2 linked regions of the Tamandua tetradactyla genome follow. The protein of the gene in region 2 interacts with the protein of the main gene of each other region in a biochemical or structural test. Links are inferred from orthologs where the notes say so. Each region holds a gene or a part of one and is shown on either strand. Other genes may lie near its edges.

Region 1 (10,732 bases), on a different chromosome or scaffold from region 2:
GAAAGCATATTCAAGATTTTATGGTAAGCCATTCCATTTCTGGTATATTGCATTCCGGCAGCTAGCAAACTAGAACAATTGCTAGATCTTACACTCAAAGCACAAGGAACAAAAGGAAAAATAAGATAATGGGACCTCCATAAAATCAAATACTTTTTGGCTTCAAAGGATTTTGTCAAGAGGGTAAAAAGTCAGTCTACCCAAAGGAAGAAAATATTTGGAAATCACATATCTGATAAAGGTTTAATATCCAGGATATACAAAGAACTCCTATAATTCAAAGCTAAGACAAACAACCCAATTAAAAATAGGCAAAAGTCATGAATAAACATTTTTCAAAGAGGATAGACAAATTGCTAAAAAGCACAGGAAAAGATGTCCAACATCACTAGCTATTAGGGAAATGCAAATCAAAACTGCAAAGAGATATCATTTCATACTTACTAGAATTGCCACTATTAAAAAAACAGAAAATCACAAGTGTTGGAGAGGATGTGGAGAAACAGGAATACTTATTCACTGTTGGGATTGTAGAATGGTACAGCTACTATGGAAGACAGTTTGGCAGGAAGCTAAGTGTAGAATTGTCATATGAGCTCGTAATCCCACTAGTTCGTATATACTCAGAAGAAATAAAAGCAAGGACATGAACAGGCATTTGCACACCAGTGTTCATAATGGCATTAATCACAATTGCCAAACGATGGAAACAACCCAGGTGTCTATCACTCGATGAATGGATAAATAAATTGTAGTATATACAAACAATGGAATATTATGCAGCTATAAGAATGAAATGAAATCATGAAGCATGTGACTACATTATGTTGAGTAAAACAAGTCACACACAAAAGGACAAGTATTTTAGGACCTCACTAATATGAGCTAAATATAACTAGCAACTCATGGTGTTAATATCTAGAAGATAGATCACCATAAGATAGAATGAGGGCAGAGAATGGAGAGCTGATGCTTAATTTGTGCAGAATATGTATATAAGGGTGATTGTGAATGTTTGAAAATGGATGGAGGTGATAATAGCGCATTTTAGTGACTGTAATTAACAGTGATGATGTAGGGGTGCAGTTGTGGTTGAAAGAGAAAGTTTAGGGTGGTGTTTGTCATTAGACGGAAAGCCAGAGGATGAAACATGGGACTGTATAATATAGTGAACCCTCCTGAGGGTGAAAATGTTCTAGAATTGATTGTGGTGATGAATGCACAACTCCCTGAATTTACTAGAAGTCAGTGTATACTTTAGATGGATTGTATGGTATGTGAATTTATTTCAATAAAACTGCTTTTTATTAAAACAGAATAAAGTAGAAGGGGGAAAAAGGCCAAAGAATTTCTTCTCTTCTTTAGTTTAAACCACTAAAATGATCAGAGGACATACACCTCCCCCCTTTCCCCGCTCAAACTCACTTCTACAGTCCCTTTTCTCACCCAATTCAGCATAGAAAAACTCAAAAGTTCATAAATGCAGATCTGACATTCTGTCCTCTACAATATCTACTGCTGACCCTTAAAGACAATGATCAGGGACTCACCAGCAGAGAAAGGGGAGAGACATAAGGTCCCCCTGCTCTCTTCTGAAACTTTAGTTTCCTGGGTGCCTGCCACTCCAAAGGCTTCAAAGTGTTGTTTTTCTGCATTAAAAAAAAAAAAAAACTGCATTGGCTAGAGGAAGAAAGGCATTATCAGCCCAGCCAAAAATATTTTTTTAGATTAGGACAGGAATAAACCTCATGAAGCACATTATGTGTAATAAAGATTGACCCTATATCCTGAAGATACAAATTATGATTTAGATTTGCTTTAGAGCATGCTAATTTTATGATCATAAGCAAAAGGATCAGGAAAGAACCAAGCCTGATAGGGGAGGGGTTGATGAGATTTAAAAACCTGACAATAAAAGGAGATTAAAAAGACAGTATTAAATCAGGAAAAAGCTGATTAGAACAGCCCAAATCATGGGTGTATCTTAGTGAAGGTGAGAAAAGAAAAATAGTTATCTTTTGTGGATACTGACCTGGAATAAGAGAAGGGACAGAGAAAAGTAAAAGAAGGTTAGAAAAGGGAATTAATTGAAGGGATTAGAGGATTATTTTAGTAATTGGGTGGCTCTGGAGGGACAAGTTTCAATTTATAACTGAAGGATGGTCTGAGGCTTAGACAAAAAGGACCACGGCTTTCTCAGAATATTAGCTAAGAAGCTAGGCTAAGGAGGAAATAAGAAGAAACTAAGAATCTAGCCTTGAATGGGAAATTTTGCAATGAATTTGTGAACAAATTATGTTCATATAATTATTTCCCTCTGCTAAAAATAAATAAATAAATAAATCCTCAATTCCTTACACTACTATAATATGGATTTTTGTCCTCAAAATGATCAAGTATGAGTAGTAACAACGGCCTGCTGTGGAGGACTTGGAGCTAGGTTTCTATCCTAGGGTCAACGTTTAAAAAAAGAAAAAACAAAGCAAATGAACAATCCAAAAAGAATTGTTTTCCCTATAGTTTAGCATAGTAAGGTATGAATAGCTCTAGGTCTCACAATGCTACCATTGAGTTGCACCATTCAAAGGAAGAAATCTGCTAATTTATCTAAGGTTAAATGTAAAAACACTTACGTTTTCTTTATTTGCAAGTGAGCTACACATTGCATCTGTCTTTCTGTGGTTATGGTCCAAAGTATTCGGAGTGCTACACAGCAGCTGTGCCTGTAAAAGAATTTTTGAGAACATCCAGAATCCTCAAGCCACAGGTAAGTAAAACCTTCTGCTGCCCACCTGAGAAATAAACCCAAATCCAAGAGAAAGGGATTACTCACTGGGCTGTATTTCATAAGGTGCTGATGATGATCCCTGCAGACCAAAACAAACTGTCAGTGAGTGAAGCCCCAAATACTGTCTGGTCATTCTTCAGTGGCCTGGCCCATCCCACCTTTTCCTTTCTTCCGTTCCAGGGGCCCTGCATCTGGTTGATGTGTATCTTACCATAATAATATATAGGATATTCTCAGAGCTAAATATCAAGATGGCAAGTGACATCCCCTCACTTCACTTGCATTATCCTATTTATGGATATGTAACAAAGATGAATGTGGTTTTTTTCTCATCTCATGTAGACATAATCATTTTTAGTTACTAATTTTTCAGTGTTGACTGTTGGTGTAAATATGTATTTCTAACACTAAGGTAGAGTTGGAGAATGGAGAGATAATGTTTAATTGAATGAGATTAAATTCTGTTTGGGGTGATGGAAAAGTTTTGGTAACAGATGGTAGTACAACATTGTGAATGTAATTAACATCACTGAACACTTTGAAAGTGGTTAAAATGGGAAATTTTATATTGTGTTAAGTGTTACCACAATTTAAAAAAATCTTAGAAAAAACTATACAACTGAAAGAGTGAACCCTAAGATAAACTATGGACTGTAATTAATAATTTAATAATATCAGTTCATCAGTTGTAACATATGTACTACACTAATGTAAAATGTTAATAATAGGGCAAACTGTGTGTTCAGGGCCATATAGGGAATACTGTACTTTCTGAAGGATTTTTCGGTAAACCTAAAGCTGTTCTAAGAGATAAAGAAAAATAATTATGAATTTCCATCCTCTCTCTCAGGATTTCATCATGGGTTAGGACATTTTAAGCAATTCAAAGAAAATGCAAGCTATACAAAGTGAAATTTTCACACATATTGATAAAAACAGTCATCTTTCACCTAAACACTGAAAGATAAAGCTCCAAAAGGATTAAAACAGCCAAGTGCAAAACTTTTTATAAGTTTAAGAAGAGCTGAATCAAAATTTGTTGCATTTGTTGAGTATTCCTTGTCTGAAAATTTTAAGATTGTTAAGAATCTATAACAGTAATAATAAACATTATGCCTACATGCAAGTACAGTATGTCATTTTCCTTCATTTTTGAAGATAACACTGATTGAATTCATTTTAACTATCAGGCACATTTTCACAACACTATTCAGATCCGGGAAACTTAGCCTTTCGAGGGAATGACTTGGATCTCAAAGCCCACTTATCTCCAAAGTGAAATATTCTGTACTTTGCAGAGTCTACACAGGATAAAATCCCCATGATCAGTGCTAAAAATGTTGTAGCGTGCGGTTCATTTAGAAAGAAAAACTTACACCACAGCTAACTGTATTTCCTGAGGTCCTGAAGAATACAAGTGTCCTGAAATCAGACATGAAGAATCAGTTATCCTTGTTCATGCACCCTGTCTTTCCTTCTGATTTTCATCATCAGTAAGCCATAGTATTTCCAAAAACTGAGTCTCCTGACAAACAGAAATTCAAGAAATACAAGAATTTACATGCATCACCTAAAGAAAAAATTCTGGTTCTGGGAACCAGAACTATACTATATTACACTAACTATACTATACTATATTAACCCATGGAGATTTTTTCATGAGCCAAAAAGAAAGCTTATCACTCAGGAAATCTGAAATTAGAACAAGTACTAGACTTTTGTCTTATGAAACACATCCATTTCAGACTTAGACCCTATAAAAAAACAGTCTTAGTTGACAAAGTATTTCCTTATGTTGGTTTCTTTGCCTCTGCTGAAATTAGACTAAGGCACAAAACTTCTCATATTTTATTACACTTTGATTCCTACCATCAATCAGCTAACAAAATATTCCTTCCTATCTAACTTTCTCAAATGCAAAGTGACTCCTTTTAATGCTAACTTTTTCTTCCCATTGGCTTAATCATTCTCCTCAAAAATCCTCTACTTACATACAAAATTCAAACTTCAAGCCTCTCTTACTTATTCTCACCACCTTCCCTCTCTGCCCTACAACTCTGTCCTATCCCTAAGTTATTTTTCCCATTGATGGCTATACCTCTCTCCTCCCTACCAGTTTCATCAAGGTCTGCAGAAGTGGTAAGTTGAGTGCCAGACATCTCCCCACTGCTAAGATTCGAAAGATCAAGACAACATTTTGGAGTTCCTCTGTTGAGACATAATAGAACATCAAGATTCCCATTAGGTCATGAAACCTTAAAGACAAAGATCATGTTGCTTTCTTCATTTGAAACACCCTTTGATGACAATCTCAAAATCTGACTGATGTCCAAATAAATCTAAATATTTTTGGAAGTATTCCAGGCTGATAATAGAACAACTAGGCTGAGAAAAAATCTCACTTTCTTTCTACTCCAATAACTTATATCTTATTTTCTCCTCACCAGGATAATTTTTTTTTTAACTGAGGACTAAAATTTATTGAACTATAGGTTTTAACCCCACATCCACTGCCCCGTGCGCCGTAAGCACACAGATTGGATTTCTCATTGGAGTTTCTAGTACATCTCATTTCTATAACTCTCCAACTTTGTTTGCTAGCTGAGACAACAGGACATGCATGTTCATGATTTAAAGTAAAAGAACAATACCATTACTACTAGTAGTAAAAATTAACCAAGTCACAACGCTATAGAATTTGCGAAGACTTTCCTTAAACATCATGTTATATGATCTTCACATGATCCTAGTAAAACAGGATGAGGGGAGAGATTATTACTTCCGTATCACAGAAAATCATCCTGAGACTCAAAAGAGTCTCACAATTAGTTAAGGGCAGAGTTGAGTTTTAAATTCAGGTCTTTGAGCTAGGACAATTTTTTTTTTAAAGCTGTTTAGAAAGGTAAAGGCGATAGAGTGCGATGATAAAAGTGCATTTACCCAGACAAAATGCTTAGGTTTGCAGAATCACAAAGGATTTTATCCACTGGAGTTCTACGGAGATCTGGGCAGATCGTAAAGGAAGTGTCTCTCTCCAGGAGCGAGTTTAACCTCTTCCTCTGACTGCACCTAAATGTGGGCCTTGAGCCTGGGCTTCCCTCTTCTCTTGTGGATGAGGAAAGATCTGCAGACATGGTGTCCGAATTCTCACCAAAGGAAAAATAAAGCCTGGGTGGAAAGAGAACACCATCTTAGGTCATCCAGCCTTCAAGGTTACCTCCCCCACCCTTTCCAGCATGATAAAACATTTCAGGATCGGAGCGGCATCCCCAAACAGTGAATCGCATCCTATTATGAAGGTTAAATCTGACTTGCCCAAAGAGGCTTGGCCTTTTCGGTGGAACCTGAAGTAGCCGAGAGGCAATCTCAGGACTTCAAAGTTGGAATGAAGAGAGGGTTTTTATTTGTTCGGGGCAAACAGCTCACGAGTCCTGACCGGAAATCGGGACTCTTAACTCACGACAATGCCCATTCGGTCCTCTGGACTTCCGTTTGCGGGACCCGGCCTGACCACTGAGGAGAAAATGCGATCTCCGTCATTCCGTGACAGACACTCAGAACTCCAGGCTTACCTCAAATTTGGGGTCTCCTTGCCTTCAGGAGAAAGGGAAGCTGGGAAAGATCGGACACGAGCGAAGACGAGCAGAATTAAAGGAAGAACCAATCCTGGAAACGGTGACAATTAACCAGGGTACACTTCTGCTTGTCGACTGAATAGGCCAGAGTTTGGTTTCGCGGGTTGTCTCCTCAGAGGGTCGAAATTACGCGGTTTGGGTAGAAGAATACCAAAAGCAACGGGCCTTGACCATTCAAATCTTCCGCCGTCCCAATAACCTATCACCGCTCGCCTCTACCTGCGTCAGCCAATCCCTGCGCACCCGCCTAGTTCCCTTCAGCCAATCATTTGGCCAGTACAGGGGGTACGAGGTTGCCTTGCCAGGAGCAAGATTTGCCCCGCCCGGGAGTCAGAGCAGGATAGCGATTGGCCCACCAGCCTCTGGTAAGCTCCGCCCCCCCAGGAAGCCTAATGCACCATTGGCTCTTCCTCTGACCAATCGCCACACCCTTCCTGTGCTCTCCCTTACTACATCCCCACCAACCCGGGAGATTTAAATTGTTCCCCACAGGCGGCCACCACTCGCTAAGATATTATTTGGAGAGTTTAATTTAGATGAGAGTGTTGGAAACGGTTATTTTTTCCTTGCTCCTTTTTTCGTACCGTTATGTGGACCTTTCTCTTCTAACTTCCTGGTTTTGCTAGCCGATCTCTGGAGATGGAGCATTTATTGCCAGCGTGGCAGGTGTTGGGGCGAGACAGGTGTGTGTGTTTAGGCAACGCGGCACTGACCCCTTCCAAGCGCTTTCCTTGTTCGGTGTCCCTTTTTAGTGCGCGGCATCTCTGAGATGCTAGGTTGTGGTAAAAGGAAATTCCTTTTCACGGAAAATAGAGGAGTTGGATCATTTCTTGGCATAATCCTTATCAATCGAAAGGATCTCCAACTTTAGTTGTTTATGGATATTTAACACTGACTAGGTGATATTAAGAAATTATTCTTAATGTTGGAGATTTTATTTTAAATAATCGGGGGCGGGAGCAGCGGTGGATGTAAATGAAACAAGACTGGCTTTGAGTGTTGGATAATAGAAGCATGGGGGTGTGTGATGTCAGTGCTTCTCAAAGTTTAATGCGGTTACTACCCACCTGGGGATACTGTTAAAATGCAGACTCTGATTCAGTAAGTCTGGGTGAGGGCACAAGATTCTACACTTCTTGTAAACCTCCAGGTGATGCCGCAGTGGCTGGCCCTGGAACCACACTTTATGTACCAAGGCATTATGTTATTTTACTTCGGTACGTATTTGAAATTTTCCGTAATAATAAAAAAATGTTTAAAATGCAGGCCCCCAATTGTTGATTCAATAGGTTTAGAGAGGGTTCAGGAACTATTAAGGTCCCTAGGTGGTGCCAATGTAGGTGGTTTGCCAACCCACACTTCTGAAACCCGTCAAAAATACAACCTTTATCTGGTGTCTGAATCTTGTGGTTGTGATGGTGGTGGTTGAGAGGTGCATTGTAGCAGCTGGCTTTTATCCTAATACTCACTTCATCTGTAGAATCTGCTCCCCCAGAAAGGAAGTTTGTGAGGAGTCTCTATCCTCTAGGCTAGAGATGGTGAGCGTGGGAGTCAGTACAGAGCTCTGTCATACCAGGTGAGTTTGAGACTCAGGCTGGGATTTAAGGGAGTGTGGGATGAGTTAGTTTCAACTTTGATGCCTCTAATCACAATTCACATGGACTTCCTGCAGGTGGCAAGTAGAGACTGATGAAGTTGTCCTGCAGCGGCGGCAAAAACAAATAGATTATGGCAAGTGCACACCTGGCTATCAGTGCTTTCTGCAAAAGGTCCCCAAGTGAGTGCACCTGTGGGATGGTGACAACAATGGTGTCAACCAAGTTGTTGTATTTCAATGTCAGGTGATGGAAAGATACTAAAATCTGAGTGCTCTCACAAAGTTACAGCATTGTTAAAACCAAGTCTCCTGCAATCTAGCCCTAAAGATAAGTTTCTAAGATTTTTTTTTTTAATGGAACAAGTAATACTTGGCCCATAAGACTTTAAAGCTTTACCTGTGTTTCCTAATGAGGTAGTTTTCCTTCCAACCACTTTTACTATCCCCTCATGCTTCCAGCTGAGTTGGATAATTGCAACATACTTGCTTAATTACATGCAAATTTACATGTATATATACAAACTAAATGTATGAAAAGGTAGAATTCATTTTAAAGGGAAGATAAACACTGTCTTTTATGTCTATTTTGGCTTCCAAGGAAGCTGGGACTATCTAACTTACCCTTTCCCGAAGGTCAGAAGTTTGGTGTTTAATGTGATTGGAAGATTTACTTTTCTTGTTGGATTGAGGACCCTCTTAGTTTGCCATGCTGCTATAACAAATACCACACAATGGGATGGCTTAAACAATAGAAATTTATTGGTTTACAGTTTTGAGGCTAGAAGAAGTCTAAAATCATGATGTTAGCAAGGCTTGCTTTCTCCTGAGGGTCTGTAGCATCTTGTGCTGCCTGTCAGCAATCCTTGGATTTCCTTGGCTTGTCTATCTGCCTCTAGTCACATTACAAAAGCTTCTCCTTTCTGGCTTCTCTGACCTCCAAGTCCTCTTTATAAGGCCTCTAGTAATCCAGATTAAGATCTACCTTCATTCAGTTGCACCCAACCTTAACTAACATCTTCAAGAAGTCTTATTTATAATGGGCTCACACCCACAGGAGTGCTGATGATTAAGAACATGTTTTTTTCTGGGGCACATAACTCAGCCTTCCACAAGAACATGGATCTTACACCATTCTCAGGAATCACTAACAAATTTCCTCATTCACTATGATAAGCAGTGAGTTGTGCCCCCTATTATATGGGGCTCCCTTTCACCTTGACCTCAGTCTGACCCACATTTCTCATTACTAGGGCACAGCGACAGCCAGGGATTCACCCTCAAACTCCAAACAAGAACAAGAAGTACAGCCGTCGCTCCTGGGATGCCCAGATCAGACAGTGGAGAAAAGCCCTGCATTCCTGGGACCCCCCCAGCCAGACTCTGCAGGGCAGTGGGGATGAGGGGTGTGTTTGCTATTTCTGGTTCCTTCTGTGAGTGGTGGGCTGAGTCCTACGTCTCCCCACCCAACAGAGGTTTAGCTTTCACTGGCTGAAAAGGGAATGACTGTATGAGATGCATATTCCTCTGACTGTGCTGCCTTCCTAGGCAGGGAATGGAGAAACTCTTACAGCCAGTGGATTCTACCCCTTTGGATGACCTACTGGATGACAAGCTCCAGGCCCTGGAACCCTCATAGGATCTGGATGGAGACCAGAAGGTAGTATCTTCTGCTGAAATCCACTGGAGCACAGTCAAAGATAGGGACTGGCCCATGAAGTCACAATTAAGATGGGGTTCAAGGTAGTAGCACAAGAACAAAAGAAAGAAAAGGAGGCAACAGAAAAAATAGCAGAACATGAGTAAAACACTTGAGAACTAGGAATGGTATAAGGAGATTTAATTATAGTTAGGGTGGGGGTGGGCCTTTGGGTGGCACTGGGGAAGGGCAGGTATTGTTTTCACTTGATGAAAGCTGATGTAAGTTTTCTTTGTATGAAACTTGACTTTTTTTTTTTAAGTTTGTCAATTCTTTTTTAAGTGTTTTTCAAGTGAGCCAATGCTAACTTAACTTCTTTTACTCAATCATTTAACATTTTGAAGGATGGATGACAATAAAAAGGAGGATAGCCTAGTGGTGAAGAGCAAGGGCTTTAAGGTTTCAGGGTTTTTAGTTTTGTTTTATGGCTTAATGTACCTTGAAGCTCAGATTCGTGTCACATCTACAGGGTCATCCTCTGGATGTACTGGGGGCAGAATTAATTTTTTTTTTTAACTACAAATTTTATTGAGATAAATTCACACACCATATAATCCATTCAAAGTATAAAATGTCTCACAGTATCATCACCTAGTTGGGCAATTATCATCACAATCAATTTTAGAACATTTTCATTTCTCCAAAAAGAAAAAGAGTAGACAATAAAAAGAAAACCCAGAATACCCCATGCCCCTTATCACCCCTTATTGTTGTCCCCTGGTTTTGGTGTAGTATGTTAGTTACTGCTAATGAAAGAATATTAAGATATTACTGTTAACTACAGTCCATGGTTTGTAACAGGTACTTTTCCCCCCATATACCACTCTATTATTAGTTCTTTGTACAAGTTTAATACATTTACAGAATTGATTTTTTAAACTTTTTTTATTGTAAAGTATAACATATATACAAAGCAAAGAAATAAAAAAGCAACAGTTTTCAAGGCACTCTTCAACAAGTGGTTACTGGACAGATCCCAGAGTTTGTCATGGGCTACCATACGATCCTCTCATATT
Region 2 (10,732 bases):
AGAAAATCCAAAGGAATCCACAGAATAACTACTTGACCTAATAAGTTCAGCAGTGTTACAAGATAACAGATCAGCATATGAAAAATCAATTATATTTCTCTACACTAACAATGCAAAATCTAAAAACGAAATCCTATTTATAGTAGAAGATACTAAGATACTAAGAATTCAGTGGTAGAATGGTCGCCTTCCATGTGGGAGACCTGGGTTCCATTTCCAGATCATGCACAAAAAAAAATAAATAAATAACCCTCAGAATAAGTTTAACAAAAGAAGCGCAAGGAGCCTGCCCATGCCAAAAAAAAAAAAGTGCAAGACTTGTCACTGAAAACTACAAAACATTACTGAAAGAAATTAAAGACCTCAATAAACAGAAAGATATCCCATGTTCATGAACTAGAAGTCTTAATATTGTTAAAGTGGAAATGCTCCCCAAATTGATCTACAGATTCAATGCAAACTCTATCAAAATCTCAGCTGGCTTCTTTTCTGATATTGACAAGCTGTTCCTAAAATTCGCATGGACCTGCAAGGGACCCAAATACTTAAAATAATCTTAAAAAAGAATAAGTTGGGAGTTTCACACTTCTCTGTTTCAAAACTTACCACAAAGTTATGGTAATCAGAGCAGTGTGGCACATCATAAAGACCAGGGGATTAAAATTGAGAGTCCAGACTATGTGATTATGAAAACCTTGTGTCTGATGTTCCTTTTATCTACCTTGTCAACAGACGAGTAGAACATACGGAATAAAAATAAATAATAGGGGAACAAATGTTAAAATAAATTTAGTTTGAAATGCTACTGATCAATGAAAGGGAGGGGTAAGAGGTATGGTATATATAATCTTTTTTTTTTCTGTTTTCGTTTTATTTCTTTTTCTGTTGTCTTTTTATTTCTTTTTCTGAATTGATGCAAATGTTCTAAGAAATGATCATGAGGATGAATATGCAATTATGTGATGATCTTGTGAATTACTGATTATACATGTAGAACGGAACGATCATATGTTAAGAATGTTTTTGTTTGTTTGTTGTTAAATTTTTTTTAATTAATAAATTTTTAAAAATAAAAAAAAAAAGGAGAAAAAAAAATTGAGAGTCCAGAAACAAACCCAAGTTTAATTTTTGACAATGGTGTCAAGACAATTCAATGGTGAAAGAACACTGCCTTCAACAAATGATGCTGGGAGAACTGGATATTCACATGCAAAACAATGAATTTGGACCCCTATTTCATACAAAAAAACCACTCAAAATGGATCAAAGATCTAAATCTAAGAACTAAAACTATACAACGCTTAGAAGAAATCACAAATGTAAATCAATGATAAGTAATAATAATATATAGCTCCTAAATGCTGAGCATCTACTCTATGCTGATTTCTCTATCCAGCTTTTCATATATTCTCACTTTTAAAGGTGATGCATTCCAATTCACTCTTCCTCATCATTTCCCTCTTCCCCACTCAACATACCTAAACCCCAAGCCTATTTTTAAAATATGGCTTAAATGGGTAAAAGATATGGAATGTCACTATATCATTTATTTTTACCATTTATTCAACTTATCAAAGTTGGACATTAAATTAAAGGGAGGGGTAGTGACAAGGTACAGAATGTTATTCATTTCTCCACATTATTTTCTATTATTTCAATGTCAAACTTTTTTTTAAACAAAGAGATCATTCTAATCTGAGGAGGAAAAAAGCTTCAAATTTACCTATAGCAAAGTCTTTCTATTGAAATAGTTGCTGTGAGAGAATAATTGTATTTAAATTGCAAGGTCAGCTATTTTGAGATAAGAACAAATAACAGATAACCAAGAAATAGCCTTACCTAGCTCTGATACTACAAAACTGATGCTCTGAAGCCACCAAAAACCACAGCAAGGTTATTAGTTGGCAAAGCTTCTGAGATTCAATAAGAAATGTTAGCAATTTTGCATGAAGCTGCACTTTTCAGGGGGCAGTGTCCACGGCTCTCTTCAGATGGACAGCATGTTGCATATACCCACCAATAAAAAATTGTTGGAAAAATTAAGGAAACCCAAAAGCAAGTAAGAACCAGTGTGCCACCCAACACTGTTTCCTCTGTTTCATCATTCATCATCTTCAAATTCTAGAATCATTCCAGGGGTATCCCAAGCTGTCTGCTGCCACAATTTTCTGTAATTGTTTTTTAGAACAAAGCATTACACTATATAACAAAGGGTCTTACCAAGATTGGTGAACCCATCCTGGAGGGCCCATAAACGAGCCCAAGGGGCAGGGACTGGCTCCTCTGGTTCTTGGTCCTCCGGGATAGAATAGAGTTCCTGAGTAGACACTGTGTCTAAGGAACTCAGAGTCCCCGAGCTGGAGTGTGACGACTGGCTGGAGGTAGGCACAGTGCTGGAAGAAGAGCTGGACGTGCCCTGGAACGGGGAGGCAGCAGCGTAGGACTGCGAGGAGGCACCCAGGGACTGGGAGGCAGCACCGTGGGACTGAGAGGCAGAACCCTGAGGCTGCGAGGAGGTGCCGCTGGGGGACTGCTGACACTCCACATCTTTCTCCCGAGACATCACGACCTCTAAACGTAAGTGTCCAACAACAAAGTGAGTTACAATTAACAAGACTTAAAGTTCAAGAGTAAAGGATAGGTACACTACAACCATAAAAAATTATCCAGCATGTTCCGCAAAAATTAAAATTCTAACACTCTAGGCCTATAGTTCTTCTGGTCTAAGCTTTTCATCAGATCACTTTCACTAAACCAGTTTTTTCTAAGAGCTGCAAACCAAAAGGGGGTGAGGGGTTATGTGAAAGCTACAGATAGGTATAAGGCAACGTAACTAAAGCGAAATATAGGCTTACCATACAATCCAGCAACTGTGCTGCTAGGTATTTACCCAAATGAGTTCAAAATTTATGCCCACATAAGTTTGCACATGACTGTTTATGGACACTTTACCCATAATTGCCATAAACTGGAAACAACCAAGATACCCTTCAATAGATGAATGGATAAATAAACTGTAGGTATATCCACACAAAGGAAAACTATTTAAAAATAAAAAGAGCTATCAAGACATGAAACGACAGGGAGGAAATTTAAATGCATACTGCTATGTGAAAGAAGCTAGTCTGAAATGACTACATACTATATAATTCAAACCAGATGACATTCTGGAAACGGGCAAAACTATCATTGTTGCCAGGGAAGAAGGAGGAGGGAGATGAATAGGTGGAGCAAAGGGCACTTTTTTAGGGCAGTCAAACTATTCTGCATGATACTATAATATTGAATACATGATACTCTCCATTTTTCATAACCCATAGAACTGTACAACACAGAGTGAAACTTAATGTAAACTGTGGATTTCAATTAATAATAATGTATCAACATTGATTCACCAATTCTAACAAAGTTTGTACCAACTGTACAATTGTAAATGTACCAGACTAATGCAAGACCTTAATATGAGACACTGCATGGGGCAGAGAGGGGGAATATGGGGCTTCTCTGTACTTTCTGCACAATTTTTCTATAAATCTAAAACTATTCTAAAAGTAAAATCTTTTTTTAAAAAAAGCAGTGTAATTGAGCTTGGGGTGTGTGGAAGACTTGTAAGTTTACTTTCATTCCTTTTTTTTAATTAGGAATGAAATCTAAAACATATTCATTTATACAATCAACACAAAACTTAAATTTTCATATATATTTTGCAGAAAGAAGGGGAAGAGTCAGGTGCTTTGGGACAGACTATGCAAAAAAGAAACAACAGTAATTTGCTGCACAACATAAACATAAACTGATAACCCTCCCTGTCAGACCTCCTTCTTGAAGGGAGATACCATGTCCTTTATTCATTCCAGATTCCTGCACTTCTAATTCAGGGCTGGGATTCTGAGAAGAAAAAGGAAACTGCTCTAAATGCCACCCAGCTCTTTGTGATGCTAAGTAACTATGGAGCTCATCTTTTCAGCATCCCAAAAGACCTTGCAGCTCAGATGAAACCTTGCAGGAATCATTCCCAAGAGTCAGAGACCATAACACAGGTGCCCACCCTTGCTTTAGAATTAACTGATGGGCAGCTTATACCCCATAACAGTATCTCTGGTAGCTAGAGTCAAAACAACTTGCAATGCTGATCTAATCTGATTTTTTTTTTAATGAGTTCCTTCTTTCCTGCTCCCCACACTCAGACCTAATCCTCCAGTAGCACACCATAAACACTGCATTTACATAGCTTTCAAGATGCAAAGGCCCTGAAGAGTTTTCCTTAAAACACACCAGGAAGATGAATGAGTTTGCCACTCCAGGACCTTCTGGTTTAACAGGGCCAGGGCCAGGTTGAGTTCTCCTGCAGCTTTCTGAGCAAGGCTTCTTCTCAGGCTGCCTCCAGTTCCAGCCCTGATAAAGAAAGACTGAGGGTGTCAAGAGTTGGGTGCCATCATTGCTGATGACAAGGCCCACTCAGACAGTAATAAAGAGCCCAGACTGGGACCACTCTTGCCTCAGCAATGGGGCGAAAGTGTCGTGGAGTGGCATACAGGTCTGGAGTCAGGTTCCTGAGTCAAATCTCTAATTGACTCTGAGCAGGTCACAATCTCTCCGAGCCTCAGTTTCCTCATCTGAAAAAGAGCACATATACCGTGAGGATTGAAGAGGTGAAGTATGTAATACCCCTTCCCTCAGCAACTGGGAGCTAGTCTTATCAGAAAGCCATGCAACGTGGGAAGTGAAGAACCCAAGTCATGTCAGCAATATTCCAGGGTTGGTAAACAGAATTCCAGTCCCAAAGAGTTGGTAAATAGAATTCCAGTTCCAAAGAAACCTATAGCCATAAAGACTTTACAAGTGCAATGTCACCTGTTTATCAAATAGAGAAACTCAGTCCCAAAGAAAACTAGTACCGCCCGCCCATTTCCCACCACCCCATTCTGTCCACTTACTTATGAACGCTCGCAGGACATCCTGCCACATAGGTAAGTGGGTTTCCAGTTCCTGGAGCGCCTAGCAGCCAAGAGCAGATTGTCAATAATTAAGACTGAGCCCAAATCATGGTAATAATTACTACCATCTATAGAAGTCTTTACAAAACAACCGCGCTCTGATTTTGAAGAGCACAACGTTGTACCTTCCTATCCTAGAAGCCTGGGCCAGTCTCCGCTTATAAGTCACGAGGGGAAGTGAACTTCACCTCGACGTTTATCTACAAAAAAGGAAGAGTCGCTACGCCCCCATTCCCGCGGGAACTCAAATCCGACAAAGCGGAAGCTCGGGAGACGCCGCTAGCATAGGACCGGGAGGAAGGGATTCGAACCCCCAAATACAAAAGAAAAGCTCCCCTTCATGACTCACCACGCGAGTCCCAGAGGAGCCGCACACTCATGGCAGCGCCTGAGTGGCGCTAAACGGCAGATACAAACGCCGCCCTGATCCAATCAAATCACCCTCCGACGTGGTTGGACCAATTAGAAGCCGCGGATGTAGTCGTCAAAGCGTAGCCTCAGAACCCACTGGGGGTTGTAGTTTAGGTCGCAGAGCGGAACTCGGCTTCCAGGTTTCCCCCGGTGATTCCGCCCCCTCGGGTCCAGCAGCCAATCAGCAGCACGGATCTGATCGGCCAGCCACACCCCCTTTTGCTCACTAGCGACCGCGGCGACTGAGGCAGCGGGCCAAATGTGGGGTGGTAGGGCCAGAGTCCTGCTCCGGGTATGGGAGTTGTGGCTGGCAGGGGTTCCCGGGAGGGGACCGCTGAGCTCCAGTGCTGCGTCCCAGGCGCGAAGCAACACCTCCCGATGTTGGAAGTGCGGCGGCCCCGGGGGCGCCGTGCTGGGGGACGCGTTCTTCTGTCCGCAGTGCCGCGCGCTGCAGCCCCCCGACCCCTCGCGTGACTACTTCAGCCTCATGAATTGGTACGGGCAGAGGCTTCGGGAAATGGGCCGGGGCAAGAGACGTCCGGGATCGGTCTGCGAGAGGGCAAGGCCGACCGGGCTTGGGAAGGAGGTGGAACTGAGAAGGAAGGTGGGTGGAGGCCTGGAGAGCAGGGGTTGGGGACCGGGCCTGGGAGCAGGAAGGTTGGGATTCGCCCTGAGGGGGGCCGGGGGCGGGAGTTAAGGGGCGGGGCCGGGAAAGAGGGAACTTGAGAGGCAAGATCAGGAAGTTTAACGTTGGATGAGATTAAAGAAAGGAATATTGAGGTGTAGCCCAAGATGAGGATATAAAAGCACGAAAAATTTAAAATTGTGGAAGGGGTTATAAGAAAGCCTGGGAATTAGAAGGTAAGGGTTGAGAAATGGGTATTGCCCCCTTTTGTTCTGAAAGGTAAGAAACTTAAAGAGGTGGTGACGTCTAGATGGAACTGGACTGGTCGTGTCATTGGACAGACAATGGGAAGAGAAAATGAAAAGATTGGATTAAAGGAAACTGGAAGATGGGGATGAAGGGCCTTGGAAAGATGGGGTGGGATTCAGGATTATCCCTTCCCTCAACTCTAGGATCGGACTCCACCTGACACTTAGCACTTACTACGTACTGCAGTTATGCTAGTCTTTAAGTTCATCAGGAGTACTGACCTTGTTCCTACCTCAGGGCCTTTGTATTCCCTGATCCACATCATTCAGGTCTCACCTGAATTATCTCTTCACCCACCCCATCTTTATGACCCTGTTTTGTTTTTTTTTCGTAGCACCTACCACTTTTGAAAATTATCCCTGTTTCCTTATTTTTTGCATCTTCCCTCATGAAAACAGGAACCAGGCCTATGGTAGACAAATCTTTATTTGTTAGATGAATTTAATCTCCTGATTTCTTTTCAGCAACCGTTCCTTCAGAGTTGACACCACCAAGCTCCAGCATAAGTACCAGCAACTACAGCGTCTTATCCATCCAGATTTTTTCAGCAAGAGGTCTCAGGTAGCCTTGTTGGCACCCTGAATCATACCGAACACATATGTACAAACTGGGTGGGTAGTAGCAGCCTGTGGTTATGTGATTTTCGGGAACAGAGCTGGACATTCAGCTCCACCCTGTGACAGCCTGACCCCTGCCAGGCAAGCCCTGGAGTTGTCAAGCACTCACAGCTTTTATCTGACTTCCCAGAAAAGTCTCGAACTGGTCAGTTGAAAATAAAGACTACTTATCCCACAGCACTTACACTTTGTACTTTGGCTACCTCCTTAGGTTTCTCCCAGCAGCATTTTATAAAATAATTTGTCAATGTAAGATGGCTGATTTGGACGATAATAAGGCTATCTTCATTTCACTCTAACAGACTGAAAAGGACTTCTCAGAGAAGCATTCAGCCCTGGTGAATGAGGCCTATAAGACTCTTCTGGCCCCCCTAAGCAGGGGACTATACCTGGTAAGGTGATTTCCCAACCCTTCCCCGTGTGACTGCCTGATATCCATTGTACTGTGAGACAGTTGCCCCCCCTGTATTAAGCAAAAGATTACTTGAGAAATACTTGAGACCTGAATTAGTCCAGAAACGGAACAGTATTTAGTCTGTAAGATACTACATGAATGTAGTTTTCTCTGCAAATGTTACTTGCCTCAAATGCATCTTCTTAAACCATTTTTCATAAATTTCAAGGATTTGATGGTGATGGCTTTTGGAGAAAGGCAATTTTTGCTTTGTTTTGGGAGGAAGAGATAAGCATCTTAGAATCCAGAAAATTCTAGAATTGAATAGAAACTTTACAAACATTCAGTTCAGTCCCCTGAATGGAAGAATGACTCCCCAAGCGTCACATGGTTGCAAGTAGCGTGGGATCTAGACCCAGTGTCCTGTCCCTGGTTCAGGCTATTGGCACTCTGCCCTCATGCTTTTGTTATTGGTTCAACTTAAGTTTTCCTCATAAGAGAAAGCATGTTCTGAAGGGTGAGTAAGATTTGCATGACTCTAGCCATAGTTTCTTATTTTCCCTACTTTATGCCCCAATAGCTAAAGCTCTGTGGAATCGAGATTGATGAAGGGACAGATTATGAAATGGACAGGGAATTCCTCATGCAAATAATGGAAATCAATGAAAAACTCGCAGAAGCTCAAAGTGAAGCTGCCACAAAAGAAGTAGAATCCATTGTTAGAGGTAAAAAATAAAATACCCCCAAATTCATGTAATTGCTAATATGAGTACATGTCTAAAGTTAAGTGAAAAATGCATGTAAATGCATTGGAGGTCATAATGATTCAGGGAATATTTTTTTCTTGACCATACTCAAACTACTTTTGTCTGGAGATTAGTCTTGCAGCATCCCTAACCATTTGCAAGGCAAGAGGATTAAATCTCTGGTAACCAAGAATGAAAGACTATTTTGATGATTATAATGTTCCTTCATTAAGATACTATTAATTGGAGCTAAAGGGACGCAGATTGTGCAACAGCACTGATTGTTGAAACTCAGATGGATAGCACAATGTTACCTGATTGTAGCACAATAATGTAAGTACACTGAATGAAGCTGAATGTGAGAAGGATAGAGGGAGGAGGGCTGGGGGCACATATGAAACCAGAAGGAAAGATAGACAATAAAGACTGAGATGATATAGTCGAGAAATGCGTTGAGTGTACAATGATAGTGACTAAATGTACAAATTAAAAAACATTTATGCATGAGGAAGAACAAAGGAATATTGCAGGGTGTTGAAAATAGATGGTCATTTATATTTTAAAACCTCAATTTCTGTGTGAGACTAAAGCAAAAAAAAGTTTATTTAGTTCAAAATTTATATTTCGTCTAGTACATTTCCTAATATAGCTTATATGGACAGGTTAATTGAACACCGTAAGTACATGGAACTTTGAATAGGGCATGCGATTTTGTAGGTTTGTCCAGTGTGATGCCCCGATAAATCCCAGAGTAATTTGAACAGTGAATAAAGATGTAATTGCAAAATCCCCTTGGGGGAATGGTGAGAAAGGGGAAAAAATTCAACTTCCCCATTTGGAGAATGCCTAATATTTTCACAAGCAGTGGGGACAACTGAATCAGTAGGCGGAGCAATTAATCTTGGGGTTTTTCATATGAAACTTACCCTGCAAAGAATAGTCTAAGCCTCCTTAAAATTAGGCCTAAGAGTCACACTCAGAGAACCTCTTTTGTCACCACAGATGTGGCCTTTCAGCCAGCACAGCAAGCAAAGTCGCTGCCCTTCCCCTCTCTACATGGGACATGACTCCCTGGGGTGTAAACTTCCCTTGCAGCGTGGGACAGAAATTCTAGAATGAGCTGGGGCTCAGCATCAAAGGATTGAGAAAACATTCTTGACCAAAAGGGGGAAGAGAGAAATGAGACAAAATAAAGTGTCAGTGGCTGAGAGATTTCAGAGTCCAGAGGTTATCCTGGAGGTTATTCTTACTCATTGTATAGACATCCCCTTTTTAGTTTAAGGTGTATTAGAGAGGCTAGAGGGAAGTGCCTGAGACCATAGAGCTGTGTTCCAGTAGAAAAAAAAAGGTACTATGTCTAATGAGGAAAAAGGGCTTCAGAAGTTAATGGAAATGCCTAAGGCCACACAACAGATACACAGCAGATACACATTGAAACCATGTTCTTCTGAGCTCTTATTGCTGCATTTTCCATATTATTCCATAGAACAGGCTCCACAGTTTTCACTCAGACTGTATGCATTCGTGTTCTTTCACAGATGTTTGGGATGTGCCCACTGTGTGTCACATACCAAGCTTGACACTGAAGAATACAGCAGTGAACTAAGAAAGACGTGGCCCATCCCTTCATAGAGTTTACATATTCCAGCTCCATATGTCCAAAATGGAATTCACGAGGTTCTTCCTTACCGCTACCACCCCGAAAGAAAAAAGTGAAACTACTCCTCTCCCAATTTTCCCTCCCCAAGAAAATGTCACCATCCAGTTGTGCAAGTCGAACACTAAGGAGACGTCCTTAACAGCCTTATTCTCCCTTATCCCCATAGACAATCTGTCACCAAGCCATGAAGAGTTGACCTCCTAAGAGTGTCTCAAATCCATGTACCCATCTCTATTTTCACTGCCACCACCGTGTTTCAAACTACATTATCTCTTACCTGTATCACTACTCTACACTTATATGATCTTTTTTTTTTATTTTATTTTTAATTTTTTCAATAGAGAAGTTCTGGATTTACAGATCATACATAAAATACAGGATTCCCATACACCACCCCACCACCAATACTTGCATTAGTGTGGAAAATTTGTTACAACTGATGATACTTTTTTGGTAAATTCTGTTTTTTTAACAGTAGTTAAACATTTGTTAACAACTGATGATTATTGAAGTAGTACTATAACGACTATTCATAATTTACATAGTATTTTCCCCATATTCTCGACCTACAATAATTTTTTTTTTCTATGCATGTCTTTATTTCATCACCCATCTACTCATACACTGGATAAAGGGAGTGTCAGTCATAAATTTTTTACAATCACACAGTCTTATAATTAAAGCTACATAGCTATAGGAATCAAGGCTACAGGATTACACTTCAACAATTTCAGGTATTTCCTTCTGACTATTCTGATACACTAGAAACTAAAATGAAATGTCTATATCATGAGCCAGAAGTCGTAATCATCTGTTAAATCCTAATTTCTCAGTTTACACCTCCTCCCTCTCAGCTGATCATTCTCTCAGTCTTCAGAACCTCTGAGCAATGATCATTTTGGCTTCTTTGTTCTGGAAAGGGGTGTCAAATTTATGAAATAGAAGAATGAGACTGGTTGATGTCCTTAGACTG

The links.
Region 1: of the proteins of CHEK2 (region 2) and CDC25C, one has a biochemical effect on the other in vitro, tested with the Homo sapiens proteins (14 studies listed by BioGRID). The link is inferred for Tamandua tetradactyla from reciprocal best matches to the Homo sapiens genes CHEK2 and CDC25C.

Annotation. Positions count from the first base shown.
Region 1 is NC_135346.1:17,996,319-18,007,050, forward strand, and holds the start of CDC25C (M-phase inducer phosphatase 3), read right to left. Parts: upstream 5,957-10,732; 5' UTR 5,923-5,956; coding exon 5,729-5,922; intron 4,997-5,728; coding exon 4,887-4,996; intron 4,211-4,886; coding exon 4,165-4,210; intron 2,868-4,164; coding exon 2,834-2,867; intron 2,724-2,833; coding exon 2,634-2,723; intron 1,650-2,633; coding exon 1,551-1,649; intron 1-1,550. Other genes in the region: oocyte-specific histone RNA stem-loop-binding protein 2-like, read left to right, coding at 7,063-7,106, 7,904-7,999, 8,096-8,200, 9,271-9,423, 9,566-9,656. UniProt on the Homo sapiens protein: Functions as a dosage-dependent inducer in mitotic control. Tyrosine protein phosphatase required for progression of the cell cycle. When phosphorylated, highly effective in activating G2 cells into prophase.
Region 2 is NC_135331.1:34,298,251-34,308,982, reverse strand, and holds the start of CHEK2 (serine/threonine-protein kinase Chk2), read right to left. Parts: upstream 5,987-10,732; 5' UTR 5,904-5,986; coding exon of another isoform or gene 5,668-5,903; 5' UTR 5,347-5,667; intron 5,316-5,346; exon of another isoform or gene 5,123-5,315; intron 4,999-5,122; exon of another isoform or gene 4,938-4,998; intron 4,617-4,937; 5' UTR 4,499-4,616; intron 4,396-4,498; 5' UTR 4,276-4,395; exon of another isoform or gene 2,572-4,275; 5' UTR 2,564-2,571; coding exon 2,221-2,563; intron 1-2,220. Other genes in the region: iron-sulfur cluster co-chaperone protein HscB, read left to right, coding at 5,668-5,903, 6,807-6,903, 7,262-7,351, 7,934-8,078. UniProt on the Homo sapiens protein: Serine/threonine-protein kinase which is required for checkpoint-mediated cell cycle arrest, activation of DNA repair and apoptosis in response to the presence of DNA double-strand breaks.